Anolis sagrei: one gene and its partners. The protein of the gene in region 4 interacts with the protein of the main gene of each other region in a pairwise test. Links are inferred from orthologs where the notes say so. Each region holds a gene or a part of one and is shown on either strand. Other genes may lie near its edges. The genes, in order: CEP76, PPIF, TOX4 and BANP.

Evidence for each region.
Region 1: the proteins of BANP (region 4) and CEP76 interact in binary tests that used the Homo sapiens proteins (3 or more experiments, as listed by UniProt). The two-hybrid records come from large-scale screens. The link is inferred for Anolis sagrei from reciprocal best matches to the Homo sapiens genes BANP and CEP76.
Region 2: the proteins of BANP (region 4) and PPIF interact in binary tests that used the Homo sapiens proteins (3 or more experiments, as listed by UniProt). The two-hybrid records come from large-scale screens. The link is inferred for Anolis sagrei from reciprocal best matches to the Homo sapiens genes BANP and PPIF.
Region 3: the proteins of BANP (region 4) and TOX4 interact in binary tests that used the Homo sapiens proteins (3 or more experiments, as listed by UniProt). The two-hybrid records come from large-scale screens. The link is inferred for Anolis sagrei from reciprocal best matches to the Homo sapiens genes BANP and TOX4.

Annotation. Positions count from the first base shown.
Region 1 is NC_090024.1:66,286,385-66,294,080, forward strand, and holds the start of CEP76 (centrosomal protein of 76 kDa), read right to left. Parts: upstream 3,007-7,696; 5' UTR 2,658-3,006; coding exon 2,595-2,657; intron 1,148-2,594; coding exon 992-1,147; intron 1-991. Other genes in the region: PSMG2 (proteasome assembly chaperone 2), read left to right, coding at 3,172-3,231, 6,595-6,766. UniProt on the Homo sapiens protein: Centrosomal protein involved in regulation of centriole duplication. Required to limit centriole duplication to once per cell cycle by preventing centriole reduplication.
Region 2 is NC_090023.1:153,128,683-153,135,525, reverse strand, and holds the start of PPIF (peptidyl-prolyl cis-trans isomerase F, mitochondrial), read right to left. Parts: upstream 3,020-6,843; 5' UTR 2,897-3,019; coding exon 2,717-2,896; intron 1-2,716. UniProt on the Homo sapiens protein: PPIase that catalyzes the cis-trans isomerization of proline imidic peptide bonds in oligopeptides and may therefore assist protein folding. Involved in regulation of the mitochondrial permeability transition pore (mPTP).
Region 3 is NC_090026.1:10,955,373-10,962,796, forward strand, and holds the start of TOX4 (TOX high mobility group box family member 4), read right to left. Parts: upstream 3,017-7,424; 5' UTR 2,872-3,016; coding exon 2,866-2,871; intron 1-2,865. Other genes in the region: RAB2B (ras-related protein Rab-2B), read left to right, coding at 3,622-3,667. UniProt on the Homo sapiens protein: Transcription factor that modulates cell fate reprogramming from the somatic state to the pluripotent and neuronal fate. In liver, controls the expression of hormone-regulated gluconeogenic genes such as G6PC1 and PCK1.
Region 4 is NC_090028.1:25,809,844-25,817,057, forward strand, and holds the start of BANP (protein BANP), read left to right. Parts: upstream 1-4,199; 5' UTR 4,200-4,318; intron 4,319-7,214. UniProt on the Homo sapiens protein: Controls V(D)J recombination during T-cell development by repressing T-cell receptor (TCR) beta enhancer function. Binds to scaffold/matrix attachment region beta (S/MARbeta), an ATC-rich DNA sequence located upstream of the TCR beta enhancer.

The DNA of each region.
Region 1 (7,696 bases), on a different chromosome or scaffold from region 4:
TGCAGTACTGTCATCTTGCAAATGACTGATTCTTTTGTGTGTGTGCTAAGAGAGGCATCTAGCAGTAATAATTTGAAACTCAAGATAGAATTTATGGGCATTTTGTGGTTGCAGAAATATAGCAATTTCAAATTAATTCCATTTTTTAAAAACACCTTACATAAAATGGTTAGCCAGCAAGGGGTTTAACCTGCATCCAGAGCTGCAATATCCCTAGATAGGATAGGAAGATAACTCACAAAGTGATGTTCCCTTTTCTGTCAAACTTAAAATGACCGTATATGTTTCCGTCACCAGACATGATTTTAAGTATTGCATGTGCGATTGTCTTTGAATTGAGTGACTTCTGATGTCAAATAAGTGCTTTCTTCTTATAACCTAATTCTATTTCAGGTTCGTCCCTCATGCAGCAACATATCCCTTGAGTGTATGGGTGAGTTAGAGGATGGAGGAAGATTCAGAAGTGAAGGCAATTGACTGGAGCAGATAGATCCAGCTCACCCTAACTTCCAGCAGATGACAACAAAGAAATTTACCTACGCAGTTTTGATCTATTAAAATTAACACTGCTCCACAATGAATCCAATCATAAATATTTTTGTACCAGGTTATCTGTATTATACACGAGAGCCCGGTGGTGCAGTGGGTTAAACCACTGAGCTGCTGAACTTGCTGACTGAAAAGTTGGTGGTTCAAATCCAGGGAATGGAGTGAGCTTCTGCTATTACCCCCAGCTTCTGCCAATCTAGCAGTTCGAAAACATGCAAATGTGAGTAGATCAATAGATACCGCTCCAGTTGGAAGGTAACGGTGCTCCAAGCAGTCATGCTGGCCACATGACCTTGGAGGTGTCTACAGACATCAGCTCTTCGGTTTAGAAAAGGAGATGAGTACCAACCCTCCCGAGTCGAACATGACTAGACCTTTACCTTATCTGTATTATGTAATCAATATCTGGTACCATTTCAGATGTTTTCTTCAAACTACTCACAGTTACAAAGCTGAGTTCTTTCATAACATCATTAATGATTCCTCTCCGTATCAGGGCTTTCATTAGATGTTGTTCTGAGAGTTGCTGGTGTTCAGGTGCCAGTTCTTCACGAATAGTCTCAGCAAGGACTTCTCGGACCCTGCTGTGGACATCCATCTATGAAGAAATAATAATACTAATAATAATATAGGTATATGTTTATATTACATGTAATATTATTAATAACATTACAATACAATGGTATAGTACAATATAGTAATAGTTAATATTGATATTGTACTATGCTAATAATATAATATATTGGACGTATGTATATCCTGTAAGCCGCTCTGAGTCCCCTTTGGGGTGAGAAGGGCAGCATATAAATGTTGTAAATAAATAAATAAGTACAGTGGGCCCTTGGTATCTGCTGGGGTTTGGTTCCAGGTCCTCCTGCGGATACCAAAAGTCATGGATGCTCAAGTCCCATGATATACAGTGGCATAATAAAGTGGTGTTCCTTATACAAAATGACAAAATCAAGGTCGGCGGTTTGGATTTTTTTGGAGGCGGGGGGAGTGTTTTTAAGCCATGGATGTTGGGAATCGAAGAATGCAGAATATGTGGGTATGAAGGTCCAACTGAATAAACGAAGGCAGGCAAACCAGCCTTGGTGTATAGTTGACTATTTCAGACCAAGCCAATTTCAGATTTAAACCAAAGATGGAGAGTATCAGGTTCGATTATTCCTGCTCATAAGCCATAGTTCAGTGGGATTCCCACTTTTGCTTATTTGCTTATTTTTTAATTCCACTGTTATTACGAGGGGTATTTTTTTAAGTAAGATCCGTTTTATTGTAGACACTAGTAGTTTGCGCGCATACCGCAACTAGCGCGTGCGTTGTGTACCGGCATGCCTCAGGAACAACTGTGCTCAGTTTCCGCTCTGTAGCTAACCTGTACGGTTCTGTTCTGTGCTTTAAAAATGTTTAAGACTATCAACTCACCCTCCGCATGTGAGGTTCGCTCAGTGATACGGTTTTTGCCAGCAAGGAACCTGCCTGTTGCAGAAATCCATCGACAGATTTGTGAAGTGTACGGTGATACTGTTATGAGTGAAAGCAAAGTGCGTAAGTGGGTACGACAATTCAAAGATGGCCGTGACAACGTCCATGATGAGGACCGTTCAGGTTCCTTGCTGACAAAAACCGTATCACATACGGCTGAGCACAGTTGTTCCCGAGGCATGCACGTGCTCATTGCGGTATGAGCGCGAACTACTAGTATCTACAACAAAACGGACCTTACTTTTAAAATACCCCTCGTATATACACCCAGCCTCTGCATCCATTGATTCAACCATCTGTAGCAGCCATCCCCAAACTGTGGACTTCCTATGGTGCAAGCATGGGCCAACTTGGGCCCTCCAGGTGTTTTGGACTTCAACTCTCAGAATTCCTAACAGCCTCAGCTTAAGCGGCTGAGGGGGGGGGGGGAGGAAAGGGCCTGAGGCTGTTAGGAATTCTGGGAGTTGAAGTCCAAAACACCTGGAGGGCCCAAGTTGGCCCAAGCCTGCTATAAAGGCTTTCAATGGGCATTTTCTCTTCCTCCTCCTCCTTCTCACCTTGGTCAGCTGCTGGTGAATGATCTGCTTGAGCTCTGAGGCTTTCCCGGGAGCCAAGGCCATGGCTCAGCAACTGTCCCAATTCCTTAGACTAAGTGGACACCAGACAGGCCTTCATCCCAGGCACCTCCAACCACAACACCACACTCCTCCGTTCTCCCGCGCGCTCAAACCGCCTATCCCGTCTCCCCCCTCCCAAGAGCACCCATTGGCTGGATCTCCAGCCAATCAGCAAACTCGGCCCCTCCCACAGCTAGCCATGCGCTTGCTCGGGCCTCAACCGCCTTTCAAAAAATAAAAGGTGTCTATCACAATTGCCTGATAGCAAGGCAATCGAGTCTTGTTAGGCAATTAATACCCGTACGGCAGAACAACAACAACAACAACAACAAAAATGTAATTTTCCTTCAAAGGAACTGTCGCTCGCCCGTTAACTGGCTGTCAGTAAGCGCAGATGGGGACAGGCACTGTGCAAGACACCTCTCCGAGGCGGTGAACAAGAAAGGCCCCTTGCTCTCGCTACCAAAGGGAACTCTTGTGTAGGCCTGCGGTGCGTCCAGTCAGCGTCTTGGATAGAATGTTCGTTCCCTGCGAGGGCCGCGCGCCCGCTGACTTCAAAGGCTGCACGCTGCTAATGGTAATGGACAGTTCCTTCCTTGCGCGGCGCGAGACGGCCGGAGAGAGCGCCCAACCCCCCGTTGCCCGGGCAACGCGCGAGCGGGCGCGTGGCATTGAGTCAGGCGTGGGAGGAGGAGGAGGAGGAGGAGGGAGGCAGTAGGAGGGGTCTCTACCTAAAATATGGAGGGAGGGAGTGTGTGTGTGCCCCTTTAAGGGCGCATCTACACTGTAGAATTTAAAGCAGTTTGACATTGCTATGGGATGACTGTAGAATTTAATGCAGTTTGACACCATGGCTCAGTGCTATGGGATGATGGGAGCTATAATTTTGGTGAGACTCCTGCAGTGGTTAGACTGGTTCTCAACCTGGGGTCCCCAGATGTTTTTGGCCTACAATTCCCAGAAATCCTAACAGCTGGTAAACTGGCTGGGATTTCTGGGAGTTGTAGGCCAAAAACATCTAGGGACCCACAGGTTGAGAACCACTGAGAGGATACCTCTTGTCTTTTGCTGAATGTAGCATTTGCGGGGTTTTCTTGCGAGGTCTATAGATAGTTTGTAGGTATATCTTCGAAGGCTTTCATGGCCGGAATCACTGGGTTGTTGTTTGTTTAGGGCTATAAAGCCCTAAACGACTCCGGCCCTGTTTACCTCTCCGAACGTATTCTCCCCTATGAATCATCAAGATTATTAAGATCGTCTGAAGAGGCCCTGCTCTCCGTCCCACCGGCCTCGCAAGCGCATCTGGTGGGGACGAGGGACAGGGCCTTCTCGGTGGTGGCCCCTCAACTCTGGAACTCTCTCACACTGGAGATCAGAACCGCCCCTTCTATCCTGACATTTAGGAAACAGGTGAAGACGTGGTTATGGAGACAGGCATTCGACTAGTGAGCCAATACCCTGAGATATGGATGGAGGATGATGAACAACGATTTTAGTGTGACGACTGACCATTGTAGTTATTGAATGTAATTGCTGTTTTAATGTTTTACTGTAATACGAATTATGATGTTTTATTGACTGTATGTGATATTATGGTCGGAAACCGGCCTGATTCCCTCAAGAGAGGTGAGAAGGTCGGTATACAAAACTTTTAAATAAATAAATAAATAAATAAATAAAATTTTCAGGCTGTATGGCCATGTTCCAGAAGCATTGTCTCCTGACGTTTCGCCCACATCTATGGCAGGTATCCTCAGAGGTTGTGAGGTTTGTTGGAAACTAGGAAAATTGGGTTTATATATCTGTGAAATGTCCAGGGTTGGGAGAAAGAACTCTTGTAGGGTGAGGCAGCATAACTTTCTTTTTTCAAAACTTAATAAAACCCATTGTATGAATCGGAATTTTTAAAATATATAATGTAGGCGAATACCTAAAGTTTTGTTTTACATAGTTTTGAAGATCAAATTAGGTAGGTGACGTCCTCCATTCTCCATACACCGAGTAAACCAAATCTTGTAGGGTCCTTGGATGGTTCACATAAACACGGGATTTCAAAAAAACCCATAGAAAAAAATCACAAGGGGCCAAATCTGGAGAACGGGCCGGCCACTCCAAATCCGCTCGAAAAGTAGGCCTCAATGGCAAAAGCACATTCCTCACTGCTCCAACGCATGATGGCGACTGAACTGTGTCAGGACAAAACTTTATACTCCCGCCTCTCAAACGAGACCACTAGCGCTCCGCTACGTCTTCAACCGACTGAATGGCACGCATTTTTTTAAAAGTATCTGTGGAAGGTCCAGGGTGGGAGAAAGAGCTCTTGTCTGTTGGAGGTAGGTGTGAATTTTCAATTGGCCACCTTGATTAGCATTTAATGGCCTAGAAGTTTCAAGTTTCAGGATTTATTTATTTCATATCAAAAGCATTGCATAAATTAGTGTAAAACTGATAAAAATAGAAGGAGCACAGGCAGCTAAACATCTTTTGACCAAAAACAGGCAACAGCAATGGCATTGTCTGTAGCCTCCAACAATTCTTCCTCTGTACATGAGGCAGGGCATAGTGGACAAGCATACAGGAGTGGAGTTGTCTGTAAGTTTCAGGAGAAACATCAGGAGAGAATGCTTATGGAACATGGCCATACAGCCCGAAAAACTTACAACAACCCAGTTTGTAGGTTTTCTTTATCAGGGTTCCTATGCGGTCAGTGGTTCCCTTGATGTATGTCAAGAATACATATGGACAAAAGGGATCCTCTCACCTCTGCAGGAGTCTACTATGCAGCTGTGGACAAGTCTACATAGGGACCACCAAATGCACCATTGCCCAAACACGAATAAAGGAACATGAAAGGCACTGTAGACGAATTCAACCAGAGAAGTCAGCCATAGCAGAGCACCTGATGAACCAACCTGGACACAGAATATCATTTGAGAACACAGAAATGCTGGACCACTCTAACAACTACCATGTCAGACTACACAGCGAAACCATTGAAATCCAAAAGCATGTGGACAATTTCAACAGAAAGGACGAAACCATGAAAATGAACAAAATCTGGCTACCAGTATTTTTTTAAAAGAACTCTAAAATCAGGACAGTAAATAAAGAGGAACACTCAAACAAGGGAATTCTAGACAGGAAACAATCAGCCAGCTAACACCTCCCAACAAAGGATTCCCTCAGGCAGCTAGCAGCCAGGCTTTGACGCTACAAGGCCATTAAATGATAATCAAGCTTCCAGTTGCAACATTCACACTTTCCTCAAACAGAGAAGAGTTCTTTCTCCAACCATGGACATTCCACAGATATATAAACCCCACTGTCCTAATTTCCAACAGACCTCACAACCTCTGAGGACACCTGCCATAGATGTGGGCAAAATGTCAGGGGAGAATGCTTCTGGAACATGGTAATACAACCTGAAAAGCTCACCACAACCTATGTGTAAGATTGCTAGCAAAACTATGTATATAATAATTGCTGAAGAATCCTGTCTCTTTGTGTTAAAAAGGATTTGATACCCTTTCGCCTCAGTTCGATTAAAAGGACAATTATCTGAACAAGCAGATACCATTTTTAAAATTGGTAAATAGCAGCCACATTACTTTTTTCTCCAAAACATTATAAAATATACTAATACAAACTGCTTTGAGTCTTCTTTGTGAGGTGTAAATAAACATAGTAATAATAATAATCTGAATGTGTACATTTTGCTATAAATTACTTTGGCATTACTTTACTATAGTATTGTGGTTTGACAGCTGAAATGTGTTAATACCACTACTGCTAATAATAATAACCTGCCCTATCTCCCCAAGGGGACTCAATAGAAATGGTTAATAATGTTCAGTGTTCAACTAACATGTTTTTTTAAATTTGAAAATCAGTCATTTTTTTCAGATGATGTAACTCGCATGCATCTGTTATGTCATTTCAGCCCGCGGTATCGGTGGGGAATGTTGGCCAGCTGGCTGTAGATCTAGTTATTTCCACCCTTGACATGTCTAAAGTTGGGTACTTTTATACTGATTGTCTTGTGCCAATGATTGGAAATAATCCATATGCAACAACAGAAGAGAATGCAACAGAGCTGTGTATAAATGCTGAAGGTAAGTACATTGAATGTAATGTTGGGTGCTAACTTGGGCTTGTTGTGTCTTCTCCAGAGAAACACCCTTCTTTTTAGAATGAATTTGAGCATTTTAACTCCTTGCTGTATAGAAATAGTATATGAGAAATAGTATCTGAAGTGAATTATCCCTGCTTTCCAGCACTAATTGATGTGGATATTACAGTTTTCAGCAACATTTCTCATTCAGATTGTATATATTAGCACACAATTCTTCCAAAGGGATAGTACATAATTGCTTATACTATTAATACCGAGAATCATACATTAAAATGGGAAGTGTATAAACATGCTTTTCTCCCTGTATAGTACAGATATTCCCTGTATAGTACAGATATTCAAATGGTCTTAATTGGATATTCCATGAAGTCTCAATAAAATACAGCTTAAGTATCCCTTATTCGAGCCCCCGGTGGCGCAGTGGGTTAAAGTGCTGAGCTGCTGACCTAAAGGTTGCAGGTTCGAATCCGGGGGGTGGTGTAAGCTTCCGCTGTCAGCCCCAGCTTCTGCCAACCTAGCAGTTCGAAAACATGCAAATGTGAGTAGATCAATAGGTACCGCTCTGGCAGGAAAGTAACGGCGTGCTATACAGTCATGCCAGCCACATGACCTTGGAGGTGTCTACGGACAACGCTGGCTCTTCGGCTTAAAAATAGAGATGAGCACCACTCCCCAGAGTCGGACACGACTGGACTTAATATTAGGGGAAAACCTTTACCTTTACCTTTTTTACAGGTATTCCAAAATTTTAAAAACCAGAAATATTTCTTGTCCCAAGCATTTTGGATAATGGATACACAATCTGCATTATCTAACCAGTAACAACATCATGAGTTTGTTCAGACTGTCGAGGTTAATTTGTAATCAGAAAGAAAGAAAAAGAAGAAGGTTTTATTCTTCTGCAAAACAA
Region 2 (6,843 bases), on a different chromosome or scaffold from region 4:
GGCCCTTGACTATGGAAAGAGAGGCTATAAATTTCATAAACCATTTGGGCCCAGAGTATTTGACAACCGGCATCCCCACCTACAAATCTGTTTGGATTCTGTGATCAGCGGAGGGGGTCCTCCTCTCAGTCCCACCCCGGTCTCAAGCACGGCTGGTGGGAACAACTGGTGGGGACAAAACTGACTGACTATTTTAATTTACCAAAGAGCTATATTTTTATATCTTTAGACAGATTTTAACTCTTTAATTGTATTATGTATGTTGCCAGACTGACTGATTTATGTTTTTATAGCCAAAGGCTTTTTGATTCGATTCTATGTTTAAATGTTTTCATTTTATTGTTGTACGCAGCATTTAATGTTTGCCATTTTTGTTTATGGAAGCCACCCTGAGTCCCTTTGGGGAGAGAGGGCAAGTTAAAAATAAAGTTTTATTATTATTATATCTATATCTGTGAATAATGAGTACCTTAAAAACAAAAGAACCAATGAATGAAATCACACCAAATTTGGCAACAAAACGTCCCACAACACAAGGAGTGACCATCACTCAAAAAATCATGATTTTGTCATTTGGGAGTTGTACTTGCTGGGATTTATAGTTCACCTACAATCAAAGAGCATTCTGAACTCCTTCAACAATGGAATTGAACCAAACTTGGCAAACAGAACTCCCATGACCAACAGAAAATACTGGAAGGGTTTGGTGGGCATTGACCTTGAGTTTGGAAGTTGTACTTCACCTACATTCAGAGAGCACTGTGGACTCAAACAATGATGGATCTGGACCAAACTTGGCACAAGCACTCAATACATCCAAATATGAACACAGATGGAGTTTGGGGGAAATAGACCTTGACATTTGGGAGTTGTAGTCACTGGGATTCACAGTTCACTTATAATCAAAGAGCATTCTGAACCCTATGAACGACAGAATTGGGGCAAACTTCCCACACAGAAACCCCATGACAAACAGAAAATACTTAAGGCCATCCAATCCAACTCCCTTCACCAGGGCAAGAACACATAATCAAAGTCCTCCTGACAAAGAGCCATCCAGCCATAGATATAGATAGATATAATTCACACACTCACAGATATAGTATCATAGATTTGAAAGGGACCCTTAAAGAAGGACAATGATATGTTGCATGTTCCAGGGTGGACAAACCAGACACTCTCCACATCAAAACCGACAAAGAAACAGCAAGAAATACTGTTTACCCACAAGCATAAAGTAATAACATATATTAGAAACCAACACTTTCTCATTATTTTCCAGATCAACAGACTGGGCCACAGCAACACGTGGCAGGGGACAGCTAGTATATATATATATATATATATATATATATATATATATATATAAATGCTCTGTTCGTTTTGAGTGACATAGTAACTCAATATCCACTGGACGAATTGCTGCCAAATTTGACCATAAGACACCTATTAACCCAAGGAGTTACCATCACTCAAAAAATCGATTTTGTCATTTTGGAGTTGTAGTTGCTGGGATTTATAGTTCCCTGCAATGAAAGAGCATTGTGAACTCCACCAACGATGGAATCGAACCAAACTTGGCACACAGAACACCCATGACCAACAGAAAACGTTAGAAGGGTTTGGTGGGCATTGATCTTGAGTTTTGGAGTTGTAGTTCACCTACATGCAGAGGGCACTGTGGACTCAAACAACTGAAAAATCTAGACCAAACTTGGCATGAATACTCCATATGTCCAAATATGAACACAGATGGGTGTTTAGGCAGAAATAGACCTTGACTGGGATTTATAGTTTCTGGGGGTCTTTAGTAACCCTTCTGACACCCCCTCACGACCCCCAGGTTGGGAAATGCTGCCTTAAGACCATCCACTCCAACTCCCTTCACCAGAGCAAGAAAATATAATCAAAGCCCTCCTGACACAAAGTCACCCAGCCATACACACACACACACACACACACACACATATATATGAGATTCACACACATACATATATATGTATATGACAGATATAGTACTAGAGATTTGAAAGGGCAAATATATGTTGCATGTTCCAAAGTAGGCAAACCAGACAACCTCTGCATCAACACTGACAAAGAAACAAGAAACATTGTTTACCCACAAGTATAAAGAAATTACATATATTAGAAACCAACAACTTCTTATTACTTTATTTTCAAGATCACCAGACTGGGCCACAGCAATGCGTGGCAGGGGGCGGCTAGTTATATTGTAAATAAATAAAGTTCAATAAATCCCTGATTCAGAACATTGTTATGGTTTCCAATGGCACCTTTGAAGGGCACCTTGAAGAGAGAGGACGCCCAGAGGAAAGGCGCCTGGAGAGGAGGGAGGGTGCGAATACCCTGTGGAATCAATGCGGTTTTGACACCACTTGAGTTGCCATGGCTCTGTGTGGAGTTGTATTTCATTGAGGGGCTAGCCCTCTGGGGCAGAGAAGGCTGGAGACCTAGCAACTACTCCCAGGATAGCACAGCATAAGGCCAGGGCAAAGCAAGTCATTCCATAGTGTGGACCAGGGTATGGGCAAGCTTGGGCCCTCCAGGTGTTTTGGACTTCAACTCCCACAATTCCTAACAGCCTACCGGCTGTTAGGAATTGTGGGAGTTGAAGTCCAAACCACCTGGAAGGCCCAAGCTTGCTCATACCTGGTGTAGATGCACCTGAGGAGAGGCAAAGAGAAGGCGCGCGCACCTCGAAGACGACGCGGCCCAGGGGCTGGTTGTCGGCACCCACGTCCAGGAAGACCAGGGGGTTGTCGTCGTCGTCCTCGCCGCGGCGGCTGCTGCTGCTGCTGTCGCTGCACTCCCGGGTGGCGGAGCGGAGCAGCGGGAGGAGGAGGAGGCGACTGCGGGCGGAGCGCAGGGCCAGCATGGCGGCGGGCAGAAGACAGAGAGACCTGAGAGGAAGCGTCCTTTCCCGCGTCCCTCTCTCAAGCGCGCTGAGAAAGCCGGCCTCGCGCTTCAGGCCTCTTTTATAAGCCCTCCTCCCCGCCTCCCTTCGGCGACGGCGCGTGGCCGTGACGTCACGAGGCGGGCGTTTGGACGGCGCGCGAGAGGGCCTTCCCCACAGGCATCTCCTGCGAGGGGCCTCTCTAAGGGTCTGGGTCTCACTCAACTACAATCCCCACTCAGCTCTACTGTGATAACGCACTGAGTCGGCTTTCTTCTGGGAGGAGAAGGCCCCAGTTGTGATGAAGGTAGTTGGGTTGTTGTAGGTTTTTTCGAGCTATATGGCCATGTTCTAGAGGCATTCTCTCCTGACGTTTCGCCTGCATCTATGGCAAGCATCTTCAGAGGTTGTGACCTCACCTCACAACCTCTGAGGATGCTTGCCATACGTGCAGGCAAAACGTCAGGAGAGAATGCCTCTAGAACAGGGGTCCTCAAACTACGGCCCGGGAGCCGGATATGGCCCTCCAAGGTCATTTACTCAGCCCTCGCTCAGGGTCAACCTAAGTCTGAAATGACTTGAAAGCACACAACAACAACAACAATCCTATCTCATCAACCAAAAGCAGGCCCACACTTCCCAATGAAATACAATGGTTTATATTTCTTAAAATTGTTCTTTTTTATTGTATTGTATTGTTCTGAAGTGTTTTTTGCACTACAAATAAGATGTGTGCAGTTTGCATAGGAATTCATTTTTTTTTTCCAAATTATAATCCGGCCCTCCAACAGTTTGAGGAACTATGACCTGGCCCTCTCTTTAAAAAGTTTGTGGACCCCTGCTCTAGAACATGGCCATATAGCCCGAAAAAAACCTACAACAACCCAGTGATTCCAGCCATGAAAGCCATCGACAAGGTACTTACTTGTTTACTCTGCTGAGAAGCAGAGAGACCCTGCTTCCTCCTCTGGGGAGTTCAGGGCAGTGGGGTCAGTCCTGTTCAACATCTTTATTAGTGACTTAGATCAGTGGTTCTCAACCTTCCTAATGCTGTGACCCCTTAATACAGTTCCTCTTGTTGTGGTGACCCCCAACCATAATATTATTTTCATTGCTACTTCATAATTGTAATGTTGCTCCTGTTATGAATCGTAATGTCAATATCTGATATGCAGGTTGTATTTTCATTCATTGAACCAAATTGGGCACAAATGCCCGATAGGCCCAAATTTGAATACTGGTAGGGTGGGGGGGGGGGGGAGAGATTTTGTCATTTGGGAGTTGTAGTTGATGGGATTTATAGTTCACCTACACTCAAAGAGCATTCTGAACTCCACTAATGATGAAATTGAACTAAACTTGGCATACAGAACTCTCATTACTAATAGAAAATACTGGAATGATTTGATGGGCATTGCGTTTTGGAGTTGTAGTTCACCTACATCCAGAGGAGCACTGTGGACTCGAACTGATCGATCTGGACCAAACTTGGCATGAATGCTCAATATGGCCAAACGTGAACAGTGGTGTAGTTTGGTGAAAATAGACCTTGACATTTGGGAGCTATAGTTGCTGGGATTTACAGTTCACCTGCAGTCAGAGTATTCTGAATTCACCAATGATAGAATTGAGCCAAACTTACCACACAGAAGCCCCATGGTCAACAGAAAATACCGTGTTTTCAGATGGTCTTTGGTGACTCATCTGACACCCCCCTTGCGATCCGCTCAGGGGTTCCGACGTTGGTGAAAGCTCGAGGCGGGCGAGGGGGCTTTGCGCGAGGCCAGGCCTCGTGCTGAGGACCCCTTGCCCGCCTCGCGTCCACGCCGAATGGGGTGGGGCCAACGGAGGCGGACTCGCGACCCCTCCGAAATGGCCAGATGACCACCCTGGGGGTCACAACCCCCAGGTTGAGAACCACTGACTTAGATGGAGGGTATTTTTATTTGTCGTGTCAGGGCAACCAGTCAATTGTATTACATTTCTAACAGAACAAAACAAACAAACAGACAAATACAAAATGTGTGAGCTTGGTAGTTGATTAAATATCCTTTGACCAGTAGCTGGCCACTTGGAGTGCTTCTGGTGTTACTGCAAGAAGGTCCTCCATTGTGCATGTGGCAGGGCTCAGGGTGCATTGCAGTAGATGGTCTGTGGTTTGCTCTTCTCCACACTCGCATGTCGTGGATTCCACTTTGTGGCCCCATTTCTTGAGGTTGGCTCTGTATCTCGTGGTGCCAGAGCGCAGTCTGTTCAGCGCCTTCGAAGTCTCCCAGTCTTCTGTGTGCCCAGGGGGGAGTCTCTCATTTGGTATCAGCCATTGGTTGAGGTCCTGGGTTTGAGCCTGTCACTTTTGGACTCTCGCTTGCTGAGGTGTTCCAGCGAGTGTCTCTGTAGATTTTAGAAAACTATTTCTAGATTTAAGTCATTGACGTGCTGGTTGATACCCAAACAGGGGATGAGCTGGAGATGTCTCTTCCTTGGTCCTTTCACTATTGGCTGCTACTTCCCCCAGCTAAGCAGTGTAATTTCTCCAGTGGTGTAGGGCGCAGACACCCCATGATAATGCGGCATGTCTCATTAAGAGCCACATCTACTGTTTTAGTGTGGTGAGATGTGTTCCACACTGGGCATGCATACTCATCAGCAGAGTAGCATAGTGCAAGGGCAGATGTCTTCACTGTGTCTGGTTGTGATCCCCAGATGAAGGGTTAGAAGGCATGATCATTAAGTTTGCAGACAACACCAATACTCCAGAGGACAGGAGCAGAATTCAAAACAATCTTGACAGATTGAGAGATGGGCCAAAACTAACAAAATGAAATTCAACAGGGACAAATGCAAGATACTCCACTTAGGCAGAAAAAACGAAATGCAAAGATACAGAATGGGGGACGCCTGGCTTGAGAGCAGTAAATGTGAAAAAGATCTTGGAGTCCTCGTGGACAACAAGTTAAACATGAGCCAATAATGTCATGGGGCGGGGGGAAAAAGCCAATGGGATTTTGGCCTGCATAAATAGGAGCATAGTGTCTAGATCCAGGGAAGTCATGCTACCGCTCTATTCCGGCTTGTTTAGACCACACCTGGAATATTGTGGCACCACAATTGAAGAGAGATGTTGACAAGCTGGAATGTGTGCAGAGGAGGGCGACTAAAATGATCAAGGGTCTGGAGAACAAGCCCTATGACGAGTGGCTAAAAGAGCTGGGCATGTTTAGCCTGAAGAAGAGAAGGCTGATAGGAGACATGATAGCCATGTATAAATATGTGAGAGGAAGTTACAAGGAGGAGGGAGCAAGCTTGTTTTCTGCTTCCTTGGAGGCTAGGACATGGAACAATGGCTTCAAACTACAAGAAAGGAGATTCCACCTGAACATGAGGAAGACCTTCCTGACTGTGAGAGCCGTTCAGCAGTGGAACTCTCTGCTCTGGAGTGTGGTGGAGGCTCCTTATTTGGAAGCTTTCAAACAGAGGCTGGATGGCCATCTGCCGGGTGCTTTGATTGCAATATTCCTGCTTCTTGGCAGGGCGTTGGACTGGATGGCCCATGAGGTCTCTTCCAACTCTATGATTCTATGTTGCCTCTCAGAAAGATGTGAAGAGCCCCCTTGGTCGCCTCAGTGCCTGCTGCTTGGATCTCCTTTCCCTCTGGCCTCCTCTGAACCCATGGACAAGTGGTACTTGTGAGGGTTGGTAAATGTGTATAAGCAGAGTAAGTAGAAGCTTTACCACAGTATTTAAACTAAAGTATATCCTGCTTGGACCGTGAGAAGATCCAGCCAGTCCATACTTCAGGAAATAAAGCCCAACTGCTCACTGGAGGGACGCATAGTAGAGGCAAAGATGAAGTACTTTGGCCACATCATGAGAAGAAAGGAAAGCTTAGAGAAGACAATTATGCTGGGGAAAATGGAAGGAAAAAGGAA
Region 3 (7,424 bases), on a different chromosome or scaffold from region 4:
TCTGGGGTGGTGAAATTTGCCTGTGCATGCTCTATCTGTACTGAGCCCCATTGGATTTTGTGTTCTGTGTTCTGGTTCTCCAAAGTACCTTATTATGTATAGATATAAATTCCCCAGGTGGCACAGTGGGTTAAACCGCTGAGCTGCTGAACTTGCTTACCAAAAGGTTGCAGGTTTAAATCTGGGGAGTGGCAAGAGTTCCCGCTGTTAGGCCCAGCTTCTGCCAACCCAGCAGATCAAAACCATGCAAATATGAGTAGATCAATTAGTACCGCTCTTGCGGAAAGGTAGAGCTTTTTCAATCTATTCTCCAATGTTGTGGAACTCATTGCCTCCATATGTTAGAGCAATGTCGGAGTTGGGACCTTTTGTAAAAGCACCCAAGACTTGGCTGTTTGGTTGTGCATTTAAGTAATCAGATCAAATTTGCCAAATAGTCACTGCTAAAGGTTTTTATGTTGAATGTTTTATATTGTGAAATGCTATTTTAAATTGTAAGTCGCTTGGAGCACCTTGGTGGAGAGCGACTAATTAAGAAATAAAATGAAGTGAAGCAAAGAAGTGAAGTAACGGCGATCCATGCAGTCATGCTGGCCACATGACCTTGGAGGTGTCTACGGACAACACCAGCTGTTCGGCTAAAAATTGGAGATGAGCACCAACAACCAAGAGTCGGACACGACTAGACTTAAATGTCAAGGGAAACCTTTACCTTTACCATATGAACCTGTTTCCAAGGAAGATGAGAAGTAATCAAGATGAAGTGAGGAACTCGGATCCCTACATGGCAGGGGAAAACCTTTACCTTATGAATTCCCAAGTCCATAAGATATGTATGTATGCATATTTACGATTTATCGATCTATGAAATTCCAAATACTTCTGGTCCCATGCATTCATTCAGACAGGGCGAATCCAGTGGGGAGGAATAAAGGTTGACTATCCCTTGTCAAGGCCTTTGACTGTGTGGATCATAATAAATTGTGGCAAGCTCTTGGTGGGATGGGCATCCCAAGCCACCTTGTCTCTCTCCTGAGGAATCTGTACAAGGACCAAGTAGCAACAGTAAGAACTGACCACGGAACAACAGACTGGTTCAAGATTGGGAAAGGCGTACGGCAAGGCTGCATACTCTCACCCAACCTATTGAACTTGTATGCAGAACACATCATGCGAGGATGTGCGGGGCTTGATGAATGCAAAGCTGGGGTGAAAATTGCTGGAAGAAACATTAACAACCTCAGATATGCAGATGACACCACTCTGATGGCCAAAAGCGAGGAGGAGCTGAGGAGCCTTCTAATCAAGGTGAAAGAAGAAAGTGCAAAAGCTGGGTTGCAGCTAAACATCAAAAAAACCAAGATTATGGCAGCAAGAATGATTGACAACTGGAAAATAGAGGGAGAAAATGTGGAGGCCGTGACAGACTTTGTATTTCTAGGTGCAAATATTACTGCAGATGCAGACTGTGGCCAGGAAATCAGAAGACGCTTACTTCTTGGGAGGAGAGCAATGTCCAGTCTCGATAAAATAGTAAAGAGTAGAGACATCACACTGGCAACAAAGATCCGCCTAGTCAAAGCCATGGTATTCCCTGTAGAAACCTACGGATGTGAGAGCTGGACCTTAGGGAAGGCTGAGCGAAGGAAGATAGATGCTTTAGAGCTGTGGTGCTGGAGGAAAGTTCTGAGAGTGCCTTGGACTGCGAGAAGATCCAACCAGTCCATCCTCCAGGAAATAAAGCCCGACTGCTCATTGGAGGAAAGGATACTAGAGACAAAGTTGAAGTACTTTGGCCACATCATGAGGAGACAGCAAAGCCTAGAGAAGACAATTATGCTGGGGAAAGTGGAAGGCAAAAGGAAGAGGGGCCAACCAAGGGCAAGATGGATGGATGGCATCCTTGAAGTGACTGGACTGACCTTGAAGGAGCTGGGGGTGGTGACAGCCGACAGGGAGCTCTGGCGTGGGCTGGTCCAGGAGGTCACGAAGAGTCGGAGACGACTGAACGAATGAACAACAACATCCCTTGTCTGAAATGTTAGGGACCAGAAGTAAATTCCAAATACATCCTTGTAGATTTCAATGGCTTCTCTGTGTAGTCTGACATGGTGGTTGTTGGAGTGGTCCAGCATTTCTGTGTTCTCAAATAATATGCTGTGTCCAGGCTGGTTCATCAGGTGCTCTGCTATGGCTGATTTCTCTGGTTGAAATAGTCTGCAGTGCCTTCCATGTTCCTTGATTCCAGCAGAGAAGAGCTCTTTGCCCCACCCCAGTCATTCCACAGATATATTAACCCATTTTCCTAATTCCAACAGACCTCACTATCTCTGAGGATGCTTGCCATAGACGCAGGCGAAACATCAGGAGAAAATGCCTCTAGAACATGGCCATATAGCCCGGAAAAACCCACAATAACCTAAAGATGAAAAGTAATCAAGATGAACTGAGGAATCCTGATCCCTTACATGTCGGGGGAAAGCCTTATGAATTCCCAAGTCCGTAAGATATGTATGTATGCATATTTACGATTTATCGATCTATGAAATTCCAAATACTTCTGGTCCCATGCATTCATTCAGACAGGGCGAATCCAGTGGGGAGGAATAAAGGTTGACTATCCCTTGTCTGAAATGTTAGGGACTAGAAGTAAATTCCAAATACATTTCAGACAAGGGATAGTCAACCTGTATTCGTCCTCACTGGATTCGCCCTGTCTGAATGAATGGATGAATGCGTGGGGCTTCCACCCATGCTGGTTTCAAGGAAGAGGAGTCCATAGGAGTGCATAGGTGGAGGCAGTAACGAGACAGACACTCAAACGGCCCCTGGGAGGCCCTCTCCCCTTCCCCGAGGCCCCCTCACCTCCATGGCCGCGGCGAAGGAAGCTCCAGAGCAGGGAGAGCGGGGAGACCCCGCTCGACTCTCTCTCCCCCTCCTCCTCCCCCTCCAGTGCCTCTCCCGGAAACGGAAGCCTCTTCCGCCTCTTCCGCCCACCCAAACGAAGGCCGGCAGGGAACGTCACTTCCGCCCGACGTTTTGCACACGGCCCTTTCCTGTGGCGGCCTTAACTCTTCCTTCCCTGCGGTGAGAGGAGGGAGGCCGTGTTTCCCTGCGGGAGTCGCGGCCTCGCTCTGCCTTCCTCACTCGTTCGGACCGTTAAGGCGACTGAGGGAGAAAGGGAGGCCGGAGGGCCGCGCGCGCTGCCATTCTCAGGCAGGAGAGCGCTTTCGGCATTTCCCGGATGTGACGTCAAAGAGTCTAAGTAACGGCTTCGAGGCTGGAGCTCGGCGTTCCCTTTCCCCTCTCCCCCCGGATGTGACGCAATAGAGCAGCCAGTCCGAAGAAGACCAAAGGAGTGGGCGGAGTCAACACAAGGAGGAATAGAGGCGGCCCAGAAGAGATGCCCTAGAGTGCCGCCGGAAGTCCACCAGGGGCTGCCGTCATGAAGGAGAAGGCACCGGAAAGGGAAGAAGCCAAGCGCCGGGAAGGAAGAGGGCGGGTCAGAGCCACGGCTTTGAAATAGGAAGCGCGAGAGGAGTAGGCAGAGTTCCCGTGGCGTGAGCGAAAGCGGCCCGTGGAGGCCCCCTCCCGCCTCGTTCTCAGGGGCTCCCGGCAGCCATGGCCTACGCCTACCTGTTCAAATACATCGTCATCGGGGACTCGGGTATGGGAGGGGCGGAGGGCCTGCTTAAGCGGCTGAGGGGGGAAAGGAAAGGGCCCGAGGCTGTTAGGAATGGTGGGAGTTGAAGTCCAAAACACCCCAAGGGCCCAAGGTAATAGTATGATAGCTGGGTCCGGAAGCTCCGAGCATTACGTATCGGGAGTGCTGTTTGCACAAGAGAGACTTACCTAATGTAAGCCATGCCGGAGACAAATATAGAAGGGATGTAAGAGTTCTTTAATGGTGAAACCCTTACTCTGAACCATACAGTAAGCCTAACCTGTTACCCAAACCTTAACCTGTATCCTGAGCCTAACACCTTACCCTAACCTGTACCCTAAGCCTAACTCTAAACTTTACCCTAACCTGTACCCTAAGCCTAACCCCTTACCTAAACCCTAAACTTTACCCTAACCTGTACCCTAAGCCTAACCCCTTACCCAAACCCTAAACTTTACCCTAACCTGTACCCTAAGCCTAACCCCTTACCCTAAGCCTGACCTTACGAAAACCCAATCCCTAAACCATACCCTAACTAACCCAAACCATTACCCTAAGCGTCCCCTTCTTTCTATCCTTCCTTCGCTCTCCCCACCCCCCTTCCTTTATTCACAACCACCTTTGCGACATCTCCGTAACGCTCGGTGCTTCCGGACCCAGCTATCATACTACCACCAGTTCTTTAATGGTGAAACCCTAACCCAGAACCATACAGTAAACCTAATCCCTTATCCAAACCCTTTCCTTAGCCTAAACCTTACCCTAACATGAAACCAAACACAAAACCGTACCCTAATCATAATCCCAAACCAGCATTGCAGCATTCTCTCTCCACCCCCCCCCCCCCTTCCCTTATTCACAATCGCCTTTGCTGCATCTCCGTAACGCTCGGAGCTTCCGGACCCAGCTATCATACCATCACCTGTTCTTTAATGGTGAAACCCTAACCCTGAACCGTATGGTAAGCCTAAGCCTAATCCCTTACCCAAAGCCTTACCATAGCCTAAACCTAACCCAAACCCTAAACCGTACCCTAATCATAACCCTAAATCTTGCCCTAACCCTTACACTAAGCATCCCCTCCTTTCTATCCTTACTTTGCATTCCCCGCTCTCACTCCGCCTCCTCTCTTCCCTTATTCACAGCCCTCTTTGCAGCATCTCCATAACGCTTGGAGCTTCCAGACCCAGCTATCATACTATCACCAGTTCTTTAATGGTGAAACCCTAACCATACCATAAGCCTAAGCCTAACCCCTTACTCAAACCCTTACCCTAACCCTAAACCTTACCCTAACCGTAACCCAAACCCTAAATCTTTCCCTAACCCTTACACTAAACGTCCCCTCCTTTCCATCCTTCCTTTGCTCTCCCCGCTCTCACTCTGCCCCCTCTCTTCCCTTATTCACAGCTGCCTTTGCAGGAGCTCAGAGCTTCCAGACCCAGCTATCATAATATCACAGGGCCCAAGTTGACCCATGCCTGTTTTAGAAGGATTTGGCCTTCGCAAGTTTTTTTTTTAAATGCTTCATCACAAAGTTCATATCTCCCCCCCCCCCCCCCACACACACACACACACTGCTTCAACTTTTTTATTTTCTGATATTTAGTTACAGTAAACCAGGCCTGCATAGCCTGTGGCCTTTCGGCTGTTTTGGACTTCAGTAGAAATAATACTTGATTTATCACCCGCCTTATCTCTCCTGGGGGACTCAGGGTGGTTTCTAATAAAAGAGGCAAACGTTCAGTGCCAACAGAGAATCAGAATCACAGAGTTGGAAGAGACCTCCTGGGACATCCAGTCCAGCCCCTTGCCAAAAAGCAGGACAGTCACGTTCAAAGCACTCCCAACCCATCCAGCCTCTGTTTAAAATCCTCCAAAGATGGAGCTTCCACCACACTTTGGGGTAGAGATTTCCACTGCTGAACAGCTCTCACAGTTAGTTTCCTGTAGTTTGAAGCCATTGCTCCACGTCCTAGTCTTCAGGGCAGCAGAAAAAAAGCTTTCTCCCTCCTCCCTATGACTTCCCCTCACATATTTATACATGGCTATCTCCTCTCAGTCTTCTCTTCTTCAGGCTAAAACATGCCTAGCTCTTTAAGCCACTCCTCATAGGGCTTGTTCTCCAGACCCTTGATCATTTTAGTCGCCCTTCTCTGGACACATTCCAGCTTGTCAATATCTCTCTTCAATTGTGGTGCCCAGAATTAGACACAGTATTTGAGATGTGGTCTAACCAAGGCAGAATAGAGGGGTAGCATGACTTCCCTGGATCTAGTCACTATGCTCCTATTGATGCAGGCCAAAATCTCATTGGCTTTTTTTGCCGCCGCATGACGTTGTTGGCTCATGTTTAACTTGCTGTCCATGAGGACTCCAAGATCTTTTTCAACAACACACAAACAGATAAACAAAAGAATCGCAATATAAAACTTATAATAGCTAATCCAAACGAACAAACATTATCAAAATTAAATGACTTAAATAAACTAAATATGATACCTCATAAACATTTACCACATATGTCGAAGGCTTTCATGGCTGGAATCACTGGGTTGCTGTGAGTTTTCCTGGCTCTATGGCCATATTCCAGAAGCATTCTTTCCTGACATTTCGCTCACATCTATGGCAGGCATCCTCAGAGGTTGTTGAGTTTCCAGCAGACCTCAGAACCTCTGAGGATGCCTTCCATAGATGTGGGTGAAACATCAGGAGAGAATGCTTCTGGAACATGGCCATAGTACAGCCCAGAAAACACAGAAACCCATCTTCACATAATTAAACTAGCAGCTAAAAAGCATTTAAATATGAATTGACTTTCGACAACCAACAGGACTGTATGATTCCAGTATGTAGACCAGGATATGTATAAATGTGCACTTCACCTCCCAGAATTCCTGATCATTGGACACTCTGGGCTTCTAAGAGGTGGAGTCCCAAATGCCTGAAGAGCCCTAGAATCATAGAATCAAAGAGTTGGAAGAGACCTCATGGGCCATCCAGTCCAACCCCATTCTGCCAAGAAGCAGGAATATTGCATTCAAATCACCCCTGACAGATGGCCATCCAGCCTCTGTTTAAAAACTTCCAAAGAAGGAGCCTCCACCACACTCCAAGGCAGAGAGTTCCACTGCTGAACGGCTCTCACAGTCAGGAAGTTCTTCCTCATGTTCAGATGGAATCTCCTCTTGGTTGTGCAGGCCTGCAGTAAACTTTTTACTTCCATATATCAGAGAGGAAATAATAAGAAAGAGGTTGAAGTTTTCTGTTCAAAGCACCTTTTCACTCATAAGAAACATTCAAACATCTGTTCAAAAGCACAAAAAGAAATCGCACTGTTCACAATTAATCAAACCCAAAATGTAATATATGAGCAGTTAACAGAATCAGAATGTAAAGAGACCCCAAGGGTCACCCAGTCTACACCTATTCTGCCAGGTGGGAAACACCATCAAAGCCCTCTTGACAAATGGCCATCTACCTCCAGAGAAGGTGACTCCACCACACTCTCAGGCAGCAGGATATTCCACTGCCAAACAGCTCTTCCTGCCAGGAAGTTCTTCCTAAGGTTTAGGTGGGATCTCTTTTCCTGTAATTTGAAGCCATTGCTCCATTGTGTCCTAGTTTATAGACCAGCAGAAAACAAACCTGCCCTGAGGAGAGGGGAGATGTCACCTCTTTTCAAGGTGACCTACTTTCAGATGTTTAAACATGGCTGTCGTGTTTCCTCTTGGCCTTCTTTCCTCCCAAGTTAAACATG
Region 4 (7,214 bases):
ATGCACTCTGAAATTGCATTATATGGTCAACGTAAAGCCATACAGTGAAGGTTCTTGTGGGTTTTTTCGGGCTATAGGGCCATGTTTTAGTGGCATTTCTCCTGACGTTTCGCCTGCATCTATGGCAAGCATCCTCAGAGGTTGTGAGGATGCTTGCCATAGATGCAGGCGAAACGTCAGGAGAAATGCCTCTAGAACATGGCCCTTAGCCCAAAAAAACCCACAAGAACCTAGTGATTCCAGCCATGAAAGGCTTCGACAATCCATACAGTGAAGTTTGGAATGCCATGATATGATCAACACAAATCCATACAATATAGTTTGAATTGCATTATATGTGCCTATACTGGTCATATACTGCCATTTAAAATTGCATTATATGACAGTGTGGATGGGACTCCGGTTCCGTCCTGCAGTTTGAATCCACTTGAACCACGAGGGCTCAATGCTATGGGATCCTGAGATTTGTAGTTTGGCAAGGTCTTCAGTCTTCCCTGCCAAAGAGGGCTGGCTGGTGCCTGACCTAACTACAACTCCCAGAATTCTAGATCACCGAGCCAGGGCAGTGCAGATGTTCTTCTTTAAAAGTGGTCTTATCTAAATACTAAGTATATTTAGTTTTTTGATTTATAAAGTACCATGAACTTTGATGGCTGCATATAAATGAACAAGGAAGAAAAACGATGTTTACTATGGTGCGTTTTATTTTGATTCAAGAAAAAATATCCCATCATAACACAGCATTGACAGAAGAAACAAACATGTTATTTATTTATTTTATTTATTTATCGTGTCAGTATCAACCAGACAATTGTATTACATTTTAAACAAATTTTTAACAAACAGACAAAACAGAGTTTGCAAGCTTGGTAGTTGATTAAATGTCCTTTGACCAGTATCTGGCCGCTTGGAGTGCCTCTGGTGTTGCCGCAAGGAGGTCCTCCATTGTGCATGTGGCAGGGCTCAGGTTGCATTGCAGCAGGTAGTCAGTGGTTTGCTCTTCTCCACACTCGCATGTCGTGGATTCCACTTTGTGGCCCCATTTCTTGAGGTTGGCTTTGCATCTCGTGGTGCCAGAGCGCAGTCTGTTCAGCGCCTTCCAAGTCGCCCAGTTTTCTGTCTGCCCAGGAGGGAGTCTCTCATTTGGTATCAGCCAAATGAGAGCCCTCACAATTGAGGTTCTGGGTTTGAGCCTGCCACTTTTGGACTCTTGCTTGCTGGGGTGTTCCAGCGAGTGTCTATGTAGATCTTAGAAAACTATTTTTCTAAGGGGGACATGAAAGAAGCCTCCTTGCAGGATTGCAAGACATCTGGGCATCCCCTGGGCAAAATCTTCGTAGACAACTGATTCTGTCACTCCAGAAGCAACCAGAAGCGACTTGCAGCATGCAAACAAACATGTGCGTGTGTGTGTGTCTATATATATATATATATATAATATAATATAATATAATATAAAACATATTATTTATATATATTATAATATATATTATATGATATGATACATTTTTAAATAAAATAATTTAAATATAGTATAATATATTATTTTATATATATACCTATGGGCCCTCGGTGGTGCAGTGGGTTAAAGCACTGAGCTGCTGAGCTTGTTGACCGAAAGGTCGCAGGTTTGATTCCGGGGAGCGGCGTGAGCTTCCACTGTCAGCCCTTGCTTCTGCCAACCTAGCACTTTCAAAACATGCAAATGTGAGTAGATCAATAGGTACTGCTCCGGCGGGAAGGTAATGGTGCTCCGTGCAATCATGCTGGCCACATGACCTTGGAGGTGTCTATGGACAACAGATCTTCGGTTTAGTAATGGAGATGAGCACCACACCCCAGAATCAGACATGACTGGACTTAATGTTAGGGGACAACCTTTACCTTTATATATACCTTTATAACATAACATATATTATACTTTATATATTGTATATATAATATAGATTACAATATACATTATATTATAATATATGATAAATTTTAAAATAACTTAATTTATATATAGTATAATATATTATTGAATATAATACCTATATAACATAATATATATTATATTTTATATAAATAATCTATATATAATATAGATTATAACATGTTGTTGTTGTTGTTCATTCGTTCAGTCGTCTCCGACTCTTCGTGACCTCATGGACCAGCCCACGCCAGAGCTCCCTGTCGGCCGTCACCACCCCCAGCTCCCTCAAGGTCAGTCCGGTCACTTCAAGGATGCCATCCATCCATCTTGCCCTTGGTCGGCCCCTCTTCCTTTTGCCTTCCACTTTCCCCAGCATAATTGTCTTCTCTAGGCTTTCCTGTCTCCTCATGATGTGGCCAAAGTATTTCAATTTTGTCTCTAGTATCTTTCCCTCCAGTGAGCAGTCAGGCTTTATTTCCTGGAGGATGGACTGGTTGGATCTTCTCGCAGTCCAAGGCACTCTCAGAACTTTCCTCCAACACCACAGCTCAAAAGCATCGATCTTCCTTCGCTCAGCCTTCCCTAAGGTCCAGCTCTCACATCCGTAGGTTACTACAGGGAAGACCATGGCTTTGACTAGGCGGATCTTTGTTGCCAGTCTGATGTCTCTACTCTTTACTATTTTGTCGAGACTGGACATTGCTCTCCTCCCAAGAAGTAAGCGTCTTCTGATTTCCTGGCCACAGTCTGCATCTGCAGTAATCTTTGCACCTAGAAATACAAAGTCTGTCACGGCCTCCACGGTTTCTCCCTCTATTTCCCAGTTGTCAATCATTCTTGTTGCCATAATCTTGGTTTTTTTGACGTTTAGCTGCAATCCGGCTTTTGCGCTTTTTTCTTTCACCTTGATTAGAAGGCTCCTCAGCTCCTCCTCGCTTTCGGCCATCAGAGTGGTGTCATCTGCATATCTGAGGTTGTTAATGTTTCTTCCAGCAATTTTCACCCCAGCTTTGGATTCCTCAAGCTCCGCACATTCTCGCATGATGTGTTCTGCATACAAGTTAAAAAGGTTGGGTGAGAGTATGCAGCCTTGCCGTACGCCTTTCCCAATCTTGAACCAGTCTGTTGTTCCGTGGTCAGTTCTGACTGTTGCTACTTGGTCCTTGTACGGATTCCTCAGGAGAGAGACAAGGTGGCTTGGTATGCCTATCCCACTAAGAACTTGCCACAATTTATTATGATCCACACAGTCAAAGGCTTTAGAGTAGTCAATGAAGCAGAAGTAGATGTTTTTCTGAAACTCCTTGCCTTTCTCCATTCTCCAGCGGATATTGGCAATCTGGTCTCTCGTTCCTCTGCCTTTTCTAAACCCAGCTTGAACATCTGGCATTATGTATATATATGTTATAATATTATATATATACACACACACTCTCTCTATATATTATATGTATGTATAATATGTATATATATATAGATTATAACATACATTATGTGTATATATATAATATATATATATATACACACACTCTATATATATTATAATATGTATTTATAATATTATATATATAAATTATAACATACATTATGTATATATGTATGTAAATATATACACACCCTCTCTCTATATATTATATGTATGTATGTGTGTATATATATAGATTATAACATACATTACGTATATATATATGTATGTATAATATATACACACACTCTCTCTATATATTATAATATGTATTTATAATATTATATATATATAGATTATAACATACATTATGTATATATATATTATAATATGTATGTATAATACACACTCTCTCTATATATATATTATAATTTGTATGTATAATATATACACACTCTCTCTATATATTATAATATGTATGTATAATATATATATATAGATTATAACATACATTGTGTATATATATTATAATATGTATGTATAATATTATATTTACATATATATATGTGTGTGTGTGTGTATGTGTGTGTGTGTACTGTATTTGCTGTATCTGGAGGAACACTTGCAGTTGCAATGTCAAGATGCAAGCCTGAGCCACTCTTTGGGTTTAAGGACTTCAATTCCCAGCGCGCACTGCGCCCTCCCTCTCTCGCCCTACAACCCCCAGAAGGCGCGAAGAAGCAACCCTTCGCGCAAAGCTCTCTGGGAGCCGTAGTCCGGCGGCCGGCATACCACTGGGACTGCGAGTGGTGGGAGGCTTCCACTGCGCCTGCGCCAGGAGAAGCCCAGCGGAGGGAGGCAGAGCGAGCGCGCGCGCCCTTTGCCTGTGCGCCTGCGCAGTCGCTTTCTCCTTGGAGGATCTCTCGCGAGGAAGGACGCCATTATCGCACAGAGCCACCCGATTTCCCAAACACCACGAGAATTCGGCCAGGCAAACGGTAACCTCGCTTCTTCCTGCGGCGGGCGGCTGAGGATGGAGCTGCCGGGTCGGGGCCTCCTCCTCTGGCGGGGTTTCTCCTCACGGCGCCGGAACCGCCGCAAAGGCCCGGTTTTCTCCCTCAGAAAGACTAGGCCGAAAAGAGAGGGGGGGGGGAGCGGGTGGGCGGGGCTTATGAGGGGGCGTGGCTTGGCTCCAATGGCCCCGCCCCCTTAGGGCTGGGGTTGGGGTGATGGACTTCTACAAAGTGGAATGAAAGCCTCGAGCCTTTCCCATTCAAGTTGTAGTTCAAACTGGGTTAACTTTTCGGTGTAGATTCTTTCTGGCGGACGACATTAGTCAAAGCATTGTATAAAATTACCTTCTATTTATTATTTACTTATTTATTTATTTACAACATTTATATGCCATCCTTCACACCCCAAAGGGGACTCAGAGCGGCTTACAAGATATATTATTTATTTAAAACTTTTATATCCCAATCTTTCCTACATCAGACCGGCTATATATATGCATACAATATATTACAGTGGTTCTCAACCTGGGGGTCGGGACCCCTGGCGGGGGGGGGGGTCGCAAGGGGGTTTCAGAGGGGTCGCCAAAGACCATCAGCATTTTCTGTTGGTCATGGGGGTTCTGTGTGGGAAGTTTCACCCAATTCTATCATTGGTGTGGTTCATAATTCTCTGATTGTAGGTGAACTATGAATCCCAGCAACTACAACTCGCAAATGTCAACGTCTATTTTCCCCAAACTCCACCAGTGTTCATATTTGGGCATATTCGGTATTCATGTTTTGTCCAGATCAATCCATGTTTGAGCTTCAAACTACAAGAGAGGAGATTCCATCTGAACATGAGGAAGAACTTCCTGACTGTGAGAGCCGTTCAGCAGTGGAACTCTCTGCCCCGGAGTGTGGTGGAGGCTCCTTCTTTGGAAGCTTTTAAACAGAGGCTGGATGGCCATCTGTCAGGGGTAATTTGAATGCAATATTCCTGCTTCTTGGCGGGGGGTTGGACTGGATGGCCCATGAGATCTCTTCCAACTCTTTGATTCTATGATTCTATGAGTCCACAGAGGACTCTGGATGTAGGTGAACTACACCTCCAAAACTCAAGGTCAATGCCCACGAAACCCTTCCAGTATTTTCTCTTGGTCATGGGAGTTATATGTGCCAAGTTTGTTTCAATTCCATTGTTGGTGGAGTTCATAAAGCTCTTTGATTGTAGGTGAACTATAAATCCTAGCAACTACAACTCCCAAATGACAAAATCAATCCCCCCAACCCCACCAGTATTCAAATTTGCTCCAGTGAATGAAAATACATCCTGCATATCATATATTTACATAATAGCAGTAGCAAAGTTGCAGATATGAAGTAGCAATAACAATTTTATGCTTGGGGGTCACCACAACATGAGAAACTGTATTAAGGGGTCATGACATTAAGAAGGTTGAAAACCACTGATATATTATATTGTTAGCATAGTACAATATCAGTATTATATATTACTATATTGTACTATACCATTATATTGTAATATTATTAGTAATATTACATGTAATATAAAATATATAATTATATTATATTATTAGTAGTATTATATTGTATTGCATTATAATATTGTAAATATTATATGTATATACAATATAGTATATTATATTACTAGCATAACACAGGAGACAAGATGGAACTGTCCCCTGGCCTTCCCTCTCTTCACTCTGGCCCAGAGCGGCAGTTGGTGGTAATATATCTCAATATATTTTGGACTTCAGCTCCCAGAAGCGCCTACCAACATCACCAATAGTTAACATTTCTTGCAATTGAAGTCCAAAAACATCTGGAGGATAAAGGTCGAGAATATTTCAGACTTCCTGTCCAAACTTTGTTCAAATCACATGTCTGGGTCTTAATGTTAAATGACAACCCATGCAAAACGAGATCTTGTCTTATTTGTGAGTTAAAAGTTGTGATCCAAAGAAAAATCATGAGAATCCTGGATAGAGAAGAAGATAATTCAGGTTAAGGAGGATTGGACTCCTTGTCTTTAAGGTTGTGATTTGTGTGAGAATCCTGCACAAAGAGCAGTTGGGAACAGCTTAGCAGATGGGTCAAAGTGCTTCAGTTTGGGATGAAATCCAATTCTATCACTATAATAATAATAATAATAATAATAATAACAAGCACACACACATATATATAATGCTATAATATATATTTATATAATATGAAACACTATAACGTGTGTCGCAGTGGGTTAAAGCACTGAGCTGCTGAACTTGTTGATCGAAAGGTCGCAGGTTCGATTCTGGGGAGCGGCGTGAGCTTCCGCTGTCAGCCCTAGCTTCTGCCAACCTAGCAGTTCGAAAACATGCAAATGTGAGTAGATCAATAGGTACCGCTCCGGCAGGAAGGTAACAGTGCTTCATGCAGTCATGCCGGCCACATGACCTTGGAGGTGTCTACGGACAGCGCTGGCTCTTCGGTTTAGAAATGGAGATGAGCACCACACATGATTGGACTTAATGTCAGGGGACTACCTTTACCTTTACCTATATTATATATATATATAATATAAAACACTATAACATATATATGTTATAAAACAATTCCTGTGTTACATAGTGATATATGTTTTATATCTTATAAAACAATTCCTATGTTACATAGTGTTTTTTACACACACATAATATCTTATAAAGCAATTCCAGTTACATAGTGATTTATATATATTATATAAAAGCTATTATATATATATAAAATGTATATAAATACTTTCTCCCTCCATCTTCCCTTCCCTTCCACGCTTTCGTTCTTCCTTCCTTCCCTCTTCCCTCTCTTTCTCCTTCCTTCCTTCTTTCCTTCCTTCCTTCCTTCTGTCCCTTTTGTCTTCCCT